Nothobranchius furzeri: one gene and its partners. The main gene of each other region encodes a partner of the protein of the gene in region 2 in a complex. Links are inferred from orthologs where the notes say so. Each region holds a gene or a part of one and is shown on either strand. Other genes may lie near its edges. The genes, in order: zer1, tbl1x, hdac3, coro2aa and zyg11.

Evidence for each region.
Region 1: tbl1x (region 2) and zer1 share a complex: the UniProt entries of both Homo sapiens proteins name them as parts of the E3 ubiquitin ligase complex. The link is inferred for Nothobranchius furzeri from reciprocal best matches to the Homo sapiens genes TBL1X and ZER1.
Region 3: tbl1x (region 2) and hdac3 share a complex: the UniProt entries of both Homo sapiens proteins name them as parts of the N-Cor repressor complex. The link is inferred for Nothobranchius furzeri from reciprocal best matches to the Homo sapiens genes TBL1X and HDAC3.
Region 4: tbl1x (region 2) and coro2aa share a complex: the UniProt entries of both Homo sapiens proteins name them as parts of the N-Cor repressor complex. The link is inferred for Nothobranchius furzeri from reciprocal best matches to the Homo sapiens genes TBL1X and CORO2A.
Region 5: tbl1x (region 2) and zyg11 share a complex: the UniProt entries of both Homo sapiens proteins name them as parts of the E3 ubiquitin ligase complex. The link is inferred for Nothobranchius furzeri from reciprocal best matches to the Homo sapiens genes TBL1X and ZYG11B.

Annotation. Positions count from the first base shown.
Region 1 is NC_091746.1:70,679,375-70,683,488, forward strand, and holds the start of zer1 (protein zer-1 homolog), read left to right. Parts: upstream 1-1,256; 5' UTR 1,257-1,452; intron 1,453-2,840; 5' UTR 2,841-2,896; coding exon 2,897-3,063; intron 3,064-3,159; coding exon 3,160-3,310; intron 3,311-3,504; coding exon 3,505-3,962; intron 3,963-4,114. UniProt on the Homo sapiens protein: Serves as substrate adapter subunit in the E3 ubiquitin ligase complex ZYG11B-CUL2-Elongin BC. Acts to target substrates bearing N-terminal degrons for proteasomal degradation with the first four residues of substrates being the key recognition elements.
Region 2 is NC_091754.1:23,372,998-23,377,051, reverse strand, and holds the start of tbl1x (F-box-like/WD repeat-containing protein TBL1X), read left to right. Parts: upstream 1-1,182; 5' UTR 1,183-1,323; intron 1,324-4,054. UniProt on the Homo sapiens protein: F-box-like protein involved in the recruitment of the ubiquitin/19S proteasome complex to nuclear receptor-regulated transcription units. Plays an essential role in transcription activation mediated by nuclear receptors.
Region 3 is NC_091741.1:31,111,207-31,114,808, reverse strand, and holds part of hdac3 (histone deacetylase 3), read right to left. Parts: intron 1,171-3,602; 5' UTR 1,169-1,170; coding exon 1,068-1,168; intron 1-1,067. UniProt on the Homo sapiens protein: Histone deacetylase that catalyzes the deacetylation of lysine residues on the N-terminal part of the core histones (H2A, H2B, H3 and H4), and some other non-histone substrates.
Region 4 is NC_091744.1:13,219,286-13,222,887, reverse strand, and holds part of coro2aa (coronin-2A), read right to left. Parts: coding exon 3,557-3,602; intron 3,146-3,556; coding exon 2,966-3,145; intron 2,358-2,965; coding exon 2,241-2,357; intron 586-2,240; coding exon 481-585; intron 406-480; coding exon 309-405; intron 1-308.
Region 5 is NC_091748.1:47,405,834-47,409,172, reverse strand, and holds the end of zyg11 (protein zyg-11 homolog), read right to left. Parts: intron 1,274-3,339; coding exon 1,176-1,273; intron 1,079-1,175; coding exon 894-1,078; 3' UTR 884-893; intron 810-883; 3' UTR 593-809; downstream 1-592. UniProt on the Homo sapiens protein: Serves as substrate adapter subunit in the E3 ubiquitin ligase complex ZYG11B-CUL2-Elongin BC. Acts to target substrates bearing N-terminal degrons for proteasomal degradation with the first four residues of substrates being the key recognition elements.

The DNA of each region.
Region 1 (4,114 bases), on a different chromosome or scaffold from region 2:
CTGGCAGTTTTTAAATCTCGTTTAAAGACCCACTTTTACACTTTGGCTTTTAGACAGTGACTCGTTTTAGTGTTTTATTGTATCATTGTTTTAATTGTGTTCTTAGTATTCATCATGGTTTATCTGCCTTTGATTGAGATTTTTATCCTCTGTTTTAGCTCCTTGTAATGATTGTGTTTTGTTTTAGCCTGTGCAGCACTTTGGGCAGCTCCCATGCTGCATTTTAAACGTGCTATATAAATAAACTATGCTATGCTATGCTAAACAGACCCACTGCGATCTGCATATAAACCATACCTGCAGCACCGGGCGCTGACTCACCTCGAGATGTGAAAGAACACTGTGAGAATCGTGTTCTTCTGCTTCTCAAGTGCCTTCAGCACCATCCAGCCGTGTCTACTGCAGCAGAAGATGAGGGGTGCAGGAGTGGAAGAACATCTGACTGCATGGACCATCAACTACCTCACCAACAGGCCACAGTACGCGAGGCTGCACAACTGTGCGTCTGAGGTGGTTGTGTGCAGTTCTGGAGCTCCACAGGGTACGATGCTCTCTCCCTTTCTCTTCACCTTCTACACTTCAGACCTCACCTACAACACCAGCAGCTGTCACCTCCAGAAGTTCTCTGATGACTCGGCCATTGTCGGCTGTGTGTCTGAGGGGAATGACCTGGAGTACAGGTCAGTCATCATGGACTTGGTGAACTGGTGTGAGGGTAACCACCTTCGCTTAAACACCAGTGAGACAAAGGAAATGACTGACTTCCAGAGAAGCACTCCTCCTCACTCACCAGTAAACATCCAGGGAGCAGACATGGAGATGGTGGATACCTTTAAGTACCCAGTGTTCACCTCACCAGCACCTCCTGAGGAGGCTGAGGTCCCTATCTATCTATCTATCTATCTATCTATCTATCTATCTATCTATCTATCTATCTATCTATCTATCTATCTATCTATCTATCTATCTATCTATCTATCTATCTATCTATCTATCTATCTATCTATCATATATCTATCTATCTATCTATCTATCTATCTATCTATCTATCTATCTATCTATCTATCTATCTATCTATCTATCTATCTATCTATCTATCTATCTATCTATCTATCTATCTATCTATCTATCTACCTTCTCTTTTATGTGCTGATAAAACTCGAGGCTGATTATTAAACCTTAAAACGCGTTCAGGTGTTCTCAGGTGTTTCCTTTGCGGTCTCACAGGTGAGCCGAGCTGGGCCGGAGCGCAGCGGTGCTGACAGCAGCAGGAAGTGGCAGCAGACGGAGAGGAGGTGGGAAGAGCAGAGGAAGGAGCAGCAGGAGAAGTAGAAGTGAGAGGAGGAGTCTGTTTGTTGACATCGGGACGAATCCGAAATCAGATGAGTGAGGACAGCCGATAACGCCTGGTTTTGTCCCCCTCAACGAGACACCTCCTCGGGGACAGCTCAGGTAAGGTTCCGTCTGAAGAACCGGGCGGGCTGACGCCGCTGACCCGGTACCAGCCACCGGGAGCCGGTGTTGTGGTACCGCTCAGCTCTCCGGTTCTGTTAGCCTTCTTGCTAGTATCACAGCGGGGAAAGTCACAGCTAGCATCAGGCTAGTTTGGACCTTAAAACGAACCGGTACCGGTTAATAAGGCCGAACTTTTAATAAGAAGTAGTTTCGCTGAGCGTGTGGACCGGAACTTATGGTTCGGTGTGATATTTCCAGTTTGTCAGCAGATTTAAAACCTTCACGGCGAATTCTTCCAAACAAGCAGCTAGCTGTAGCTCGTTAGCCCGCTAACTTGTCAACGGTCCGTCTCTTTCTGGGTCCACCTGTGTTCACACACAAAGACAGAACCGAACCGGGCCACCGGACCCAGGCTGCAGGTAACAGGTGAGAAGTGGTTGGGTTGGCTGCAGTGGTTGTAAAGTTTATCACTAATTATCCATCTGTTCTTGTTTCCCATCAAACTCGGTCATGTCACCTTCCCAGAGTGTTGCACTCGGTGTGTTTGATCTTAAGTCAACGTTAATAATTTAAGATATTATCAGTTTATTAAGTAAATAAGGTGATTATTGCAAGTGCACCTCTTCAGATTTACTGGGCCGATACCGATTTCTCATTGCTCTCCATCTGCCTGCAGATGTAGAATTATCTCTGACAACTAAAACCACGTAATCAGGTTAAAAGTCTCACTGGTTTAAATTCTGAAAGTGGAAATAAAAACATCTGTTATAGCTCATCGCACACATGGAGAGGAGCCAGTTGAGGTGGCTCGAGCACCTGATTAGGATGCCTCCTAGACGCCTCCCTGGTGAGGTTTTTAGAGTACGTCCAACCAGGAGGAGACACAAGGGAAGACCCAGGGCACGCTGGAGGGACTATGTCTCTCACCTGGCCAGGGAACGCCTTGGGACTCCCCCGGAGGAGCTGGCCCAAGTGGCTGGGGAGAGGGAAGTCTGGGCCTCCTTGCTTAGGCTGCTGGTCCCAGATCAGCGGCAGGAGACAAACTGGTGCCTAGCAATGAGAGTTCATGGACCCCATAACTGTGGTGCGTTCACTGACCTGTAAAAATCCCATCAGGTTTATTGGACTGGTTCTGATCAGCTGATGCTTTAGCTTGTCTCTAGCTCAAGTTAAATGCTTTAAAAACGGATCCAGTCCAGGCTTCTGGCCTAGATCATGTGTTCTGGGACAGGTTGGGTTGTGCTCCAGTCTCTGGACACATCAGAGGAATGTTTGTTATTCTAAACAACAACAACAACAATAAACATGTTCATGAAACTGCTGCTGTTGAGGGTTAGGGTTAGAAAATGATGATTTCTAGTTTCGGCGATTGGGTGTTCTTTCAGGTCCCCCTCCCCCGCTCCGTCCATCTTTAACCTGAGACCGGGATAAAGGGGCCAACATGGCCGCTAAAGCTGGAGACGACCCGGACAGCCTCATGGCTCTGGCGACGGTGTTCTGCCTCAGGAACCTGAGGAAGACCATGTGTTACCAAGGACTCAGGAACCGGCTGCTCTTGCGCTCCGACATCTTCCTGCCGAGTGAAATCTGTGACAAGCTGGTCAACACGTATGTAACAGATCACCCCCCCCCCCCCCCCCACACACACACACACCTGTAACCCACACCTCACACACTCGCCTGTCTTTTCTCCGTCTTCACCAGGTACGTGGAGCTGGTCCACACCGACAGTTACTTTGAACCAGAGGAGAGTTTCTTCCAGCTGTTCGCGGACCCTCGGAGCACTAGGCTGACCCGGGTTCAGCTGAGGGAGAACTTGGTTCTGGACCGAGACCTGGAGGCCATACGGAAACAGGTGGGGGTGTGATGTTGTGGCCTTTCTAGAGACAGAACCAAACGAGCAGAATAGTTTTCTGTTTGTTCTTTGAGATAAACCGGCGTCACATGATGCTGGGGCGGGGCTTATGTGTAGTTTTGGGGCCACATCCTGATGGACCGGTGAGGGGAACCTTCCCTTGGTTCAGAGATAAACGGGCTCTGTTCTTCCAGGACCTGATTGAACTCAGCCTCACCTGCTGCCACAGCCTGACGCCCCGCAGCCTGAAGACACTCACCTGTTTCCGGGAGACGTTGGTGTCTCTCTGCCTGTTCGGCTGCAGCCAGATCTTCTGTAAGAAAGTGGGACCTCCTCTGGCCTGTAACGAAGACAGCGAGGAAGAGGAGGAGGAGGACAGGTCTGCCTCCTGGCGGGTGTTAGATTTGGACTTTAGCTTCCAGGGCTTTAACCGCCTCAGGCTGCTGAACCTGGCGGGTCTACCTGAAGCAGTGAACGCTGAGCGTCTGCTCAAACCCCTCAGGTCCATCACCTCTCTGGATCTGTCCAACGTGAACTTACAGGGAGCGGCTTTCCTCTCCCAGTGGAGGGACAGGCTGGCATCTCTGGTTCTGTACAACGTGGAGCTGTCCGAGGAGCTGCTCTGCACCATACTGGAGCTGGTTAATCTCAGGTAAGGTGGGGTGGGCGGAGACTAATCTTCGTAGAGGGCATTCCTTGTTTTTCAAGCCATACTTCAGTTTTTTCCTAAAAATCCAGGAGCTTCTACGACACCGGGGTCTCACACAGGAATAAGAATTCCAAAAACCTGACAGTTGTCTTTAA
Region 2 (4,054 bases):
AAGACTAATGGATGCAGCCACCATGAAATTACCCATTGATTTGTGCACTGCTGTTTTGAGGTCTTGAGTTTGGATTTAGCTGTTGCAACAGTATGCTGCTGCAGCGTGGAGAAGCATGGAAAAAGATCTGAAAGAGCTCAATGTGGTTACAACTAAAGAGAATGAAAGCTTTGTAAATTATTTATTTATTGCTCTAGACTGTAAAATTCACTGCAAAACAAAAGGAGGCCATTTGAGGGCCTGTTTTGTTTTTGTGTTAATCAGTTTCTAGCTTGGCAAAACGACGTGTTCCCATTTATCTATTTTTGTGTTGTTTATTGGACTAATTTAGGATCTTTGCGACCATTTCATGGCGTTTTCATTGTGCATCGGCCTCCAAATAGTTTGCATGGTGAGCCCACTCAGTAATCTGCCCATGATTACACACTGTACCAAATCAAAATGCTGTCATTGTTTGCAAAATAAGTATTGCGCAGATTCTACAGTGTGTACGGTAACCAAAGGAATGTGTCACACTGATGTCAACTTGTTATTTACTTTCCAAATCTGAATGACTGAGCAAGGCGAAAGGAGAATTAATCAACCACTGTGTGACCAGGCAGGCGAAAAATAGCGTTGTGGGGGAAGGGAAGTGGCTTAAAGCAGGCCAGCATGCTGGAGTGTACTCAGCAGTGTGCTTAAACTACAAAACAACACACGAAAGCAATACAATAATATGTAGCAACTTGATACCATAAGCAATAGGAAATGTAGTTTACTGGTTAAATATAAACCCTAATTATAGAACTGAGTGATAAAAAATGCTATAGTTGCGTGTTTGCTTTACAAAACGAATGATTAAAGAAACACGTTATTATATCATGGCGTGTGGTGGCCCAGTTTAGCTAATTAAGTCAGTAATTAAAGAAAATTCCGTGTAGAGTATCCAGGTTTAAGGTCAAGCAGCCTTCACCCCACCTCCCCCCCTCTCGTGCGAGTCTCGCGCTGCTGAGTGTCTCTCTCCGCTCCCGGTTCTCAGTGAACGGTGAAACTCCACGGAACAGCCTGCGCCCCACAGCCACAGAAACTCGGGCTGGTTCCAACTTTTTTTTTTATTCCTCCTCTCGTGTCCGCCAGTTGTGACGGTGTCTGGGGCGAACACGCTCTGGTGGCACAGCAAAAATAAGCCGACAGTGAGTCATACTGCGCGGTCGGAACTTGAAATATGACGATAAGCAAGATGGGAGGAAAGTGTTTTCTCGCTTACTGAAGTTGGAGGTTCTCCTTGTGGAAGAGGAAGAGGTGGCGGCGGACACCACGAGTTCACTCTCACAGTAAGAAACGGTAAGCCCGGAGGCTCGAGGCGCGGCGATGCACTGTACCCGGACTGTTCCGTTCTCCCAGTTTGGGCTTTATTCGAAGCAGATAACGACTTTCAGAAATAGATGGATTATGGCGTAACCGGCTCGCGCTGACTCCACACGTGTGTTCCAATTCCTAATTGCGTCTTTTAATTTTCTCCTACATTGTTGCAAAGCCCAACTTTTTCTGCCACTTTTTTTAAATGCTCAAATTATGCAATGAGTCTTTGGAGTGCTTGACGAAATACACTTTTGATATGTTGTCCCTCTTTTCCAAGTAGTAGTTTCATCTATTTTGTCCACATTTGTAATAATGTCATCAACCAGCACATGCAGTTGCATATGTTGTTGTTTTAGGCTTCTATTTGAATGAAAGCATTTAAAATGGTCATGTTGAGTTAGGAAGCGCATGTGTGTGTGGGGGAAGGGAACGACTTGTGTTACTGTATAACTACAATGTTGAGCTGTACCTGTCAAGCTGCTGTAACAGTTTGGCCCAGACACGAGTTTATAACAAACCTGGCGTGATATAAAAGCGTATACATTAATAAAGTAATGGAGGAATGGACTTACACCTTTAAAATCAGGTCCAACATGGCCTTAAATTCTCAGTTTGCTAATTGAGGCATTAGCACAGTGTGTTGTTTGTTTTAACCGCACTATCCCAGTAATCCAAAATATAACTGCTTATTTAGTCATACACAAGGATGTGTTGTTGATTTCAAAAGTGGGGGGAAACAAATGGCTTGACTGGGGGGGGGGGGGGGGGGAGATCCAAACTGCCTTATGGCAGTGGAGGGGGGGTCCTCCCCAATAATGATCAATGTCTAATGTATTTTTTTTCACTTGACTATGTTCAGCCTTTTCTCAATAGTTGTGTGCAATATATGTGCAATATTGTATTGCACCTTTTCATTTTACATTTTTATGCAGTCAAAACCTGACCCAAGTGACCAATCAGCTGTCCATCTTTAGTAAGGAGACCCGTTGGTTTCCCATACATACGATTTAACAAACCACTAGTAATTAAAACTAGGGATGTCCCGATACAACTTTTTTACCTCCGATACAATACCGATATTGCAGCCTTCAGTATTGACCAATGCCGATATCAATCCGATCCGATATCAGCACCAATCATACTTATCTTTTACCTATTTCATGGTGTGGAATATATGAAAGGCTTAATCATGTGATATTACTCAATCGGAGAACAAGAGTATGAAAACTGTTGGTTGCAAAAATGTGAACCTTAACGGACTGCTTATATCGGAGATTTTTGGTGCAGTCCGATATAAACCGATAGTGTTTTTGGGCTGATAACGAATTACTTCCATTGCTAATTAAAATTCTACTTATATGCACCTGAAAGTAGTAGTGGAATTAACTATTTGTAGCACTTCCTGTTTGATGCATGATATTCATATTTATGCCAGAATGATCATGTGATGCAACATTGATGGTGATGTAAAGGTTTAGAAAAGTTTGTATCAACCACTTAAAAAAACTTATTAGAGGTGAATTCAACTCATTCTCAGGTTGGTTAGAATTATCTTGCGCAGGTAAGATATTGACTGTTCATAACATTTGTACATCACCTCAGTTTGAAAGATGTAAACTATCCCTTTAAAATGTTACACCATCCTCTTTGTTCTTACAATCGGGAGTAGCCAGGGGCATTTGTGAGGCATTTTGCCTAACTTATCTTTATTACCTTTGGCTAGTAACCTTTATTGTTTCTGTAAACACTCAAGCAATCAGCATCATGCTGCTTATTTACATATTACAGCAGTTCCTTCTTTTGTACCAGTGTTGTGTGGAGAATTTCATGTTTCCATTGGTTAGTTTTCAAAAGTGGGGTCTAACTAATTGCGTTGGTCATGCTCCATTTTGGACATCTTTTAGTTTTCTTGAATTGTGTTAACTGTACGCTGAGCACTACCATTCCTAAAGGACAACCAAATTGTATCGCCATGATTCATTCCTGTTGGTGACCTTTTTGTTTAGGAAGGCTTGAAATTGCACAGTGTACACCCATCTTATGTTAGTTTCTTTATGCTCAGTGGGTCTGAATTATGTTCCTAGCCTGCTTGAATGAGAGCAGATGAAATTTGTGGTTGAGATGACCCAGATGTCTGTCTGGGTGTCGTGTTTCAATCGCTGTCAGATGGAGCTGGAGCTGATAAATGTCTTCACTACTGCAGTCATTTGACACAGCTCTTGTGCATATAGTACCTTTTTCTACTGAAGACAAAAGGCCAATTTAGTTGGGGGGTTGTTGTTTTCTGTGGTGTACAGTTTAATATAAAAACATTGTCCAGCCTTACACAGTTTTAAAAAAAAGCCATTAAAATCTATTGATTGCAAGGAAGCAGAACTGAGCTGTATGGGAGTTTGTGTTAAAAGCAGAAAGCCAACTTCTGCGGAAAAGTAGGGCAAAGAAGTCCCCAAGAAAGCCTTTGTCAGTCTTGTGGTGCAACAATGCTCTGTTCTGAGCCATCCAAATATTTCTGTAGCAGTATTTATTTATGATAGGCCGTTGGGGGGAGGTGAGCCTTTCTCCACCCCCCTCAAAGAGGTGTGCAGTGTTCATGGGCAACCAGCCAACTGGCACATGAGTGGTTACTCTGAAATTACGCCCATACAAGTAGTGGCTGGTTGAAGGCCACAGTTATGCATTGCTTATATTTTTGATTTGGTTTGGAAGTGTTTTG
Region 3 (3,602 bases), on a different chromosome or scaffold from region 2:
TTATCAAATCAGGTGTCGCCACCTCAAAAACTAATTTAACACGCGATTGTTCATGTCGGTTTATTTCCTTTAATGTTTTCTGTCTTTTATTTGCGCCTGATGCGTTTCGCTGTGGAGCGGGGCGCATCACCTTGTCATCCGGTGAAGCACCGATCACGCTGCCACCAAGCAGCGAGCACTCCGCTGTTTTTGCGGTCGGTAGATCTTTTAGAACTGCAGTTCAAAGGTAACTCATAAGGTGAATATATATGAACCCAGGTAGCAGTTTTTCTTTAGGATTGAGAGGAGATGCAGGAAGATAATAAACAGGCAGGACAGAAAAATAGTCAAATAAAAACAAGTTAGTGTTTGTACCTGCTGGTTGCAACAAACAGACACCACTGAAGGTAATCAGAAGTGAGGAACAGAAAATGAAATAATTATTTTAATGTTTAGAGCAGCAGGAACTCTGAGAGGCTGCAGGCGCATCAGTGAGTTTGCGGCCGCTGCGCAGGGGGAGGGGGGAGATGGCTGAAGCAGGGGGAGGGGGGAGATGGCTGAAGCAGGGGGAGGGGGGAGAGGGCTGAAGCAGGGGGAGGGGGGAGAGGGCTGAAGCAGGGGGAGGGGGGAGATGGCTGAAGCAGGGGGAGGGGGGAGATGGCTGAAGCAGGGGGAGGGGGGAGAGGGCTGAAGCAGGGGGAGGGGGGAGAGGGCTGAAGCAGGGGCAGGGGGGAGAGGGCTGAAGCAGAAACTACCGTTGTTAAAAGAAATGTGTTTAACTTTGAAAATGTGGGCACAATTTTAATTGTCAAAAACTCCAGCGAACCATTAGTTCATTTTGCTCAAATAGAAATAGAGGCCTGCCTCTAATTCTGGCCCTCTTTCCAATAAAGGCCTGGAGCTTGATGAGCTTGAGTCAAATACAGGCCCGGGCCTGTATTAGAGGATTTACGGTATGTAGTTATTCACATTTAACAGGTCTTGCACCTAATCCATGATCAAGAGGCTAACAAAAACATTTTCTGGCATCAAAACATTGCAGTTGTGTATATTATTGTTTCTACACTTGTTGCTGTGATGCAACTTACCTGTATTCTTTTTTTATCCAGCTGGTGAGGGACCCACTGCCTTTAGCTGCCTCAAGTAGCTCATTCTGTCGCTGCTTCCGCCTCCTCTCCTTACGAGGCATGTCTGTACAATGATAAATCATAATTAATTTACAAATATTTTTTCATGCATATAAAACTCATGCATACACACACTGGGACATTTCATTCCTTTTCCAGAAAACTAACTGTATATAATTTGGCCACACATTTGCTTCATGATGCTGATCTAGAATATTTCCATACTATTTTAATTATAGTGCTTTAGTAATTATAATAAAAATAAAGAATAAAACAATATGTTTATGCTTTCATTCAGTTTTACTATCTACTTTGTGCAAAACAGAACTGTACAGATAAAATAATTTTGCTGTGAAAACAGTAGTATTTTTTTTAAATGTACATCTTTAAAACATAACGTAACATAACAACATAACAAAACAACGACATAAGAAGGAGTAGAGGAAAATGTTAACTGCTGGGCGAAAAAGAAGAGAAGATGTGTGGAGTCAATTTTCTTATGATAACATTGCTACCAAAACTACATGCCGAGAGTGTGGACTGTCGTTCCGAGGAAAGAACACAACAAATCTGAAGAGGCATCTACAGAATGGCCACTTCGCCATTTTCTCCGAGGTAAATCCACTTAAATGTTGTACACGTGACGACCCGAAAAGTAACATACAGGCAAATAAAACTGTACCAACTCTGTCATGTTGGGATAAAAATTCGGAAGTACTGTATTTTCACGACTATAACGTGTGTTATTAGGGAAATAGCGGGCGAGCAGTGTTGATGCATGATTGCGCATGCACCGTGAGCGGTTCTGGTACTTTTTGGGTCGCAGCCGCTCGCTACACGTGCGCTCTAAACCAGGACTAGACCAGTAGAGTGAAGCATGCTGTTGGTTGTTTATAATTTTCACAATGTCTGGTTTGCACTGATATGATCCGAGTCCCGAGCCCGCACAGATGTTTTACCGGTTCGTTTTATAACGACTAAGACTAAAATAAAATTAAAATTTCCTGTCAAAATTAACACTGGTTAAGAGTCCCAGACACGCGGTTCCATCCATCTGTCATGACCCGAGACAACTCTGGACTGAAGAGTCGGTGCCACGGTATTCTACAGCCCTTCGGCGCCAGAGGTCAACCGACCTCTCTGATTTTCGGACCCACCAAGAGGGTCTCCAGAATTGGTGAAGTAGACACACAGATAGCATCTAATGTGCTTTTTGATAATGATCAACTACATAGCTTAGTGCAACCCAAATTCTTTTACATCCAGAACTCAGCTTTCCTAGATCCAGAAGTTCTGATAACACCACATTCACCCATAGGTTTCATACATCACATCTAGTTCCATCCACTCACAGCAAATGTTAGTTAACTTGTCATGTTTAATTGTTTGTAAAATAAATTCTTACTTTTATAAACCTGACTCTTTGCTGAATCAAAACAAAGTGTGTACAATCCCTTAATAAATAAAGAATCCTAGATAAATCCTGATAAACACACAAAGACCAAGCAGGGTTGATATTCTATATTTAGATAGAGTATCACAGCTTATTGGTCACAAGTAGAGGTAATATATATATTGAGCTCTTAAGCACTCAATTCCCTAAACTCTACAATGTTTACAAAAATAACTTGAACACCATCCATCCATTTTCATCCGCTTATCCGGAGTCGAGTCGCGGGGGCACTAGCCTAAGGTGAGAGGCCCAGACTTCCCTCTCCCCAGCCACTTGGGCCAGCTCCTCCGGGGGAATCCCAAGGCGTTCCCTGGCCAGGTGAGAGACATAGTCCCTCCAGTGTGTCCTGGGTCTACCTTTAGGTCTCCTCCAGGTTGGACGTGCCTGGAAAACCTCACCAGGGAGGCGTCCAGGAGGCATCCTGACCAGATGCCCGAGCCACCTCAACTGGCGCCTCTCGATGTGGAGGAGCAGCGAGTCTACTCTGAGCCCCTCCCGAATGGCCGAGCTACTCACCCTATCTCTAAGGGAGAGCCCAGCCACTCTTCAGAAAAAACTCATTTCTGCCGCTTGTATCTGCGATCTTGTTCTTTCGGTCAATACCCAAAGCTCATGACCATAGGTGAGGGTAGGAACATAGATCGACCGGTAAATCAGAGTCAGAATCAGAATCAGAATAGGTTTATTGCCATTGTCAGTGAACAAACAATTCAGAAACTAGGAACTTGCTTTGGTACTAATGTGCTACATATAACATGAATAATAATAAGATTAAAAATAGAATAAAATAGAATAAAAATAGAAGGAAACTTTCAGCTATAAAAAATGGCAGGTAGTGTTAACATGGCTGATAACGTGATGTTGTGTCAAGTGCAGAAGACCAGCATGGCTGTGTATTTATAATCTATTCACAAGTCTAACGGCAGACGGAAAGAAGCTGTTCTTATGGCAGGAGGTTCTGGTCCGGATGGACCGTAACCTCCTGCCTGAGGGGAGCGGCTCAAAAAGTCTGTGACCCGAGTGAAAAGGGTCAGCTGCCATCC
Region 4 (3,602 bases), on a different chromosome or scaffold from region 2:
AAGTTTGAGACTTTTAAACGTGTGTGTGTGTGTGGTCATGGACGTAATTTTCACTTTAGAAGTGGGGGGGACCCGGGGGGGGGGGGGGGGGGGGGGGTTGGAGGACAGTTATCTGATGGGAAACAGGCTTCAACACAAACGGTTGTTTTCTGCTTGGTCCTAGAGCTCAATCAGTGTCAATTTAATATAGCGTAATATTGTTTTTGGATGGTTAAAAAGTGCAGGGGTCAAAATTTGACTTTGGAAAAAGTGGGGGGGACATGTCCCCCCTGTCCCCCCAAAATTACGTCCATGTGTGTGGTCCTTACCCAATCCTTTCTGAGGTACATGTGAGCGATACTCCGTTAGAAAGTGGATGTAGGGTTTTTCTGAGCTGATCTCATAATATCTGATGTTTCCATCACCCTGTGAAACAGTGAAACTCTTGTGAAGACAAGATCTGATGCAGTATTTTGGATTATGAATCAGTTTTGGATTTACCTTGCCAGCTAGGTAGAGCATGTGTGTGTCAGGGTCGTAGAAAGGGAAAATGACCCCGGAGGAACCATCCAGGTTCTCCTGCAACAAGGGCCCCGACAGATCGTCCTACAAACACACACGAAGATTACGAAAAATGAAATGCACAACAAACAAGAAAATCCCCCTGATATGAAACTACTGAATCATTTTAATCCACAGCTGTAGAAGAGCTGAATTAAAACTGAGTGCTTCATCTCTAATCCATGTTCTGCTTTAATCCCCCGCCCACGATGCACACCCACCCCTCACAGTGCAGACTCCCGGGTGTGGTCAGAGCGCTGCGTGGGGAAAGGTGCAACTCTGAATTTATTTCATCTTAAACTGTGGCAAGTTCAGGTAAACTGATGAGAGGTTTAGTTATTATCTGTCCACTAGATGGCAGCATTGCACATCACACTGAAGCTACACACCTGGAATGATTTCAGTATCTGGTGAGGGGGCCTAAATCTCATCACCAATGAAACCAGGGTTCAGTAAATTAAAACAAGGAGACAAAACAAGCAAGGATACTTTAAAAATCAAAGTATATTACAGAGAACAGAAAATAAGAATTACAAAGAAAAATAATAATTGAGATCATCCTTCCAATAGCAGCTAGCTTAAGGGCTGCGACTAGACTCATAGAATCTGGGGTTATAATACGTAACCAACGTTCTTTGCACTAAATCTTTTCTCAGTGGTCTAGTGGTAGAGTGTCCGCCCTGAGACTGGGAGATCAGGGGTTCGATTCCTGGTCGGGTCATACCAAAGACTTTGAAAAAATGGGACCCAATGCCTCCCTGCTTGACACTCAGCATTAAGGGGTTGGATTGGGGGGTTAAACCACCAAATGGTTCCCGAGCGCGGCTGTGTCTGCTGCTCACCGCTCCCCCAGGGGATGGGTCAAATGCGGAGAACAAATTTTGCACACACACCTGTGTGTGACAACTAATGGGACTTTAACTTTAAATCCCTCTCACATAAAGCTATTTCAGTTGTTTTATTCTTAGCATTTTCAGTACCTTCCAGAATGAGCCGTTTCAGGGCTCTGTCACTTTAAGAAAACAATCTGGAGCTGGACACGCTCCCCCCTCCCCCACTCAGGCTGCTGAAAGCTGAGAATCTCTGATATCCAGGGGGGCTCTGGGGAGAGCCACTGCTCCTCCGGCCGCAGCTCTCTCTTGCACATGAAAGGCGGTTCTATCCTAATTTGTGATATCACAAATGGGGACTTTTTGAATTGGCTTATTTTAGGCACATAATTCCTAAAACCAAACACTGACAAAGAACGTATGGATGGATTTCTTTCATGTTTAGAGTGGTAATAGAGGCAGTGAAGACCCACATGGCAGCACAAAAGGATGCAAAAGCTGAGTTTTGCATTGTATGTCCCCTTTAAAAACAAATCTTTGTTTTTGGATATCTAGTAGTTAAGAATAAAAGTCTCTTAACAAGTCAAAATAAAACATTTTAAATAAAATCCAGCCTCCCTAAATAATAAATGAGTCCAAACAGAATTATAGCAGAAGAAGCTGATGTCCTCTTTAGGGAACGTGGGGTCCCGTGGAGCTAATGATGAGCAGAATCGAGTCATAATCCACATTTCTTCACAAGAACAGAAGTAAGCCAGTTTTGTCTGAGTTGTCATGATGTATTTAAGAATAATCTACAGAAAATGCCCAAGCTCAGAGCAGCAGAACAGATAAATATTTGTAAACGGGCCCAAGGGCAGCAGGTCTCACCTGATCCCACAGAGCGATCTGTCGATCGTTGTAGCGCGAGGTGCCAGACGTCAAAAGCATCTTCATGTTTCCAAGAATCAGCACCTTACTGGCTTTGTGTGTTTTGCAGTTACCTTCCTGCAAAAAAGGGTTAGAAAAGACAACAAAAAGTGAAGGTCTCCCATCTGAAAGACCTGATGGTTGAAGTAAATATGATGGATTGTTTTGTGAAAACATCTCCACACAACAGGTTTAAAATAAAATAAAAATATCTATTTTTCTGCTGCGGCGTTTTATTGTCTCTGAGCAAAAGTGTTCAACAGAAAGTGACAGCGGACTAAATTAAAAGTGGGTGTGCTTCAGTGGCTGCTGACCCAGAGGTCTGAGCAGCCCGCTGTGATCCAGGCCAGGACTAAGGTGTCAGTTTTGGCTGTGTGGTGCTGGATGAGTGCCGCGGTGCTGCAGCCATGGAGACTCCAGCTAACACCCGGCTGTGAGGCTCCTACAACACCGGACCAAAAACTCTAAAGTTCAATAAGTTCATTTAGCAAAACTAAAGTCCATGATTAGCTCACTAGATTTATCTCTGTTTGGATTTCCTTTAGCAAACAAAAACAATTTGTTTCAATCTTCAGCTGGATGAAAAACAAGCTACTTCCTGATACGCTTGTGCTGATCTCCTGAGCTGAACTCAAAGGTGGAAGCAACCTAAGATCAATGACTGCACGCATTAATGTGTAGCATACCTGCAGCAAGTTCCCCGAGCGAGGCTCCATCAGCCGGACCTTCCTGTCCCTGCAGGTGGTGGCGAAGAGGCTGCCATCTGTGTTGAAGGACATGGACAGAACCACATCGGTGTGGTGGCTGATGGTCCGGACCGGGTTCTTCATCACCTGCTCTGGAGAGTCCAGGTTCCAGATCATCACCTGGAGGGACACACACACACGCACGCACGCACGCACACGCACACACACACACACACACACACACACACACACACACACAAGTTTGAACCAGACTTTTAAAACGTGGAAGGTTACGACCTAGATTATATCTCTTAATGGTCCGTTTTTATTACCAATGCTAGGAAGATGATCAGCCATAATGTCATTCTGGTCAATAAGCTAACGCCTGAAGCTGGATCTAGAGGCGTGCTGTAATGGTCACAACAATAGCACATTCTGTTTATATCTCAAAGGAATTCACGCCGTTTAACACAGCTGTGTGTGTGAAAGCACACCGGAGCTGTTTGAGAGTCTCTTCATTTTGTGATTTAAGAAAGAAGCTGGAAGCAAATCTAGATTGGGCCGCAGGTGTGCAGGTGGGGTTTGTGTCACCTTGTAGTCGTAAGCTGTGCTGAAGAGGATGTTGTTAGCTGTCGGG
Region 5 (3,339 bases), on a different chromosome or scaffold from region 2:
CTCACACCAAAATATGGAAAGCAAACAAACATGTATGCAGAAGATTTAACCCAAACTAAATTATGTACATTCAGATTTCCCATTCTCTGCTTAGCTGGTTTATCCGTAGATAAATCTGATCAGAGAAATTCACATAAACGTAAATAAACTGTGCTCTGGGGTTTGTTAAACTCGACTGTAGTTGTATCATTTTATTTGTAATATTTAACACCTCTGGTGACCCTTTTTTTTCAATGATGTTAAAGATTTTGTCTAATTAAGGAACATTTTAAGAAGTGGCACCGTTGACCCATAAACAAGCCAGCAGGCACCTTCTAAACCAACAGTACAAAGATTCAGACCAGCATGCTTGAGCTCACAGCAGAGTCATGCATAGATTTGAAAAGTAACCAAACAATTCAGACAATACATTTGGGAGTACCTCTAGTGCAGCGGGGAGTTGACCCTCTGCTCAGATCTCAGAGCATTTTCATCTTTTTGGTAAAAAAATAAAACCATCATGCTGCTAAAGTCATCCTAACAAACGCGAGCACAAACACAAACTCCAAGCTGAGCGGAACGGACCGACAGCTTATAAATGTTTCATCACAGGATTTGCACACAGAAATGTTTTGTTGCTTTGACAAAAAGAAATAAATAGGTTCAGCATGTGCAAAGTATTGCAATGTCTCTGTCTTTTACCCTCTTGAGATTTTAGGAATTCATGCACACTTGTGTGCAGGATGTGCATCACAGCTGCACACGCACGTGCAACTCTCCACTCTGTTGTGGGATCAAGTCCTCTTCTTCTTAGTCGGGAGCATAGTCACCTAAAAGAGGCATAAAAGAATGGAGGACATCAGACCACTGAGAGTGCACCGGCTCAACATGCGCTTTCCTTTACCTTGGACGTGTTACTGAGAGGGGGGGTGTCTGCTTGTGCACGCCGGCTGGCCGGTGCGGGCTCTGTGGCGCTGCAGGCTCTCCAGAATGCTTTCAGCCAGAAGCCTGACGTCTCTGTGGGTCTGTGGGTGTGCATTAACGTGCTCAAGCTGCTGCAGGCCGCCCTCCTCCAACAACATGCTGCAGTAACGAGAAGCTGCAGCGCAGTTTGGGTCAATTAGCATCTGTAAAGCGGAAGACTCAGGGGAAGTTTAGTTTAGTTTTAAAGGTGTGTGTGTGTGTGTGTGTCTTACCATTTTTGCTGCACACATGTTGCATGGCCCAGGCTGCCCATAATTGGACACCCGGTGTGTGAAAACACTCCAGGAGTGGAAAGAAAGGGTTAAAAGACCTAAAAAATGAATAGAATGAGGAAATGGATTCATTTCTGTTACCTTGCCACTTTGACACAAAGCTACAAGGTTTTGCTTAAACTTTTGTGTTTTATCATTTGGCTTGTGATCTTAATTTGTATTAAATTATCTTTTTATTTTTTATTTTTGTCTTTTAATCATGTTTTAATTGTGATGTGATTTTCTCTGATCCTTTTCCGTGACAGGTACTATGTAAATAAATTTTACTTACCTTTACTCACCTAAAAATACATCAATCAGAATCACCCTAAATCAAGGTTTGACCCTTTTCCATAGCAGAACATCGTTGTTCATATTAGATGGTTGGCATTAACACGTTTCCTAATTTTTCACAGTTTAGGACTTATTAGGTATTAATGAGAAAAAGGAAAATTATTCACATCTGTAAAATTCACACACACACACACACACACACACACCTAGTTAATCCTGTGTCTCGATGAAGTGCAACTGCTGGAGATAAATTGCAAACAACATTGACGAGAAGTTTCCACAGGGTCTGAAAATGTTCATTATGTGAGTTGCTGCTAAGCCTCAATCCCATGTTGCTCGAACTTGAAAGACGTTCAAAAGCTTCTCTCTTACTGACACGGGCAGCTGAAAACTACCTCAAACCACTTTTAGGTTGGCATCGATGAGAAGTGTGAGACTTGGTGACTAAACTGCAACTGGAACATTTCCAAAACAGTTTTCATTCTTTTCATGTTTATGTTTATTTATTTGGCAGATGCTTTTATCCAAAGCGACTTACAATTTATAACCTATAGGGCATGTTGTGATCTGTGGGGGAAACCGGAGTACCCGGAGGAAACCCACACATGCATGGGGGAGAACACGCAACTTCATGCAGAAAGGCCGCAGCAGAGTTTCGAACCTGCAACCTTCGTGCTGCGAGGCAACAGTGCTAACCACTGCGCCACCATGCACTCAGCCATGTGTAAAACATCATGCGTGTCATTGCAGTGGGGTTCGAGCTGAAAATGTGTAGATTTTCTGTCAAATTTGCGCCTCCAATGTTTGACAGTCTTGTAAGATATTGGCCTAATTAATCAGTTTAAAATGATATTCTAAGACTTCCATCTTCCAGTGAAGGTGTACCAACAACACATTTTTGTACAAGTTTAAGGTATTTATACTCTTTTAGGTGTCTGGTTCTTCAATTCCCACCTCTGACAGAACTTCCAAAATGTTCTGGGGGAGGCGGGGGACATTGAGTCTGAATGGACCCTGTTCCATGTCTCCATTGTTGAGGCGGCCGACCGGAGCTCTGGTCGCAGGATCGTCGGTGCCTGTCGTGGTGGCAACCCCCGAACCCGCTGGTGGACACCGGCGGTTAGGGATGCTGTCAAGCTGAAGAAAGAGTTCTATCAGGTCTTTTTGGCCTGTGGGACTCCAGAGGCAGATGACGGGTACCGGCAGTCCAAGCGGAACGCGGCTCGGGTGGTCGCCAAGGCAAAAACCGGATATGGGAGGAGTTCGGTGAGACCATGGAGCAAGACTTCCGTACGGCTATGAGGAGATTCTGGTCCACCATCCGGCGCCTTGGGGGGGAAAGCGGTGCGCTACCAACACTATCTATAGTGGGGACGGTGTGCTGCTGACCTCTACTCAGGATGTTGTGGATCGGTGGACAGAATACTTTGAAGACCTCCTCAATCCCACACGTCTTCCAGTGAGGAAGCAGAGTCTGGGGACTTTAGGTTAAGCTCTCAAATCTCTGGTGCGGAGGTCACTGAGGTGGTTAAAAAGCTCCTCTGTGGCAAGGCTCCAGGGGAGGATGAGATCCGCCCAGAGTTCCTTAAGGCTCTGGATGTTGTGGGGCTGTGTTGGCTGATGCGGCTCTGCAATACCACGTGGACATCGGGAGCAGTCCCACTGGACTGGCAGACCGGGGTGGTGGTCCCCTTATTTAAAAAGGGGGACCGCAGGGTGTGTTCCACCTACAGGGGGATCCCACTCCTGAGCCTTCCTGGTAAGATCTATTCAGGGGTTCTGGAGAGGAGGGTCCGTCGGATTGTTGAACCTCAGATTCAGGAGGAGCAAT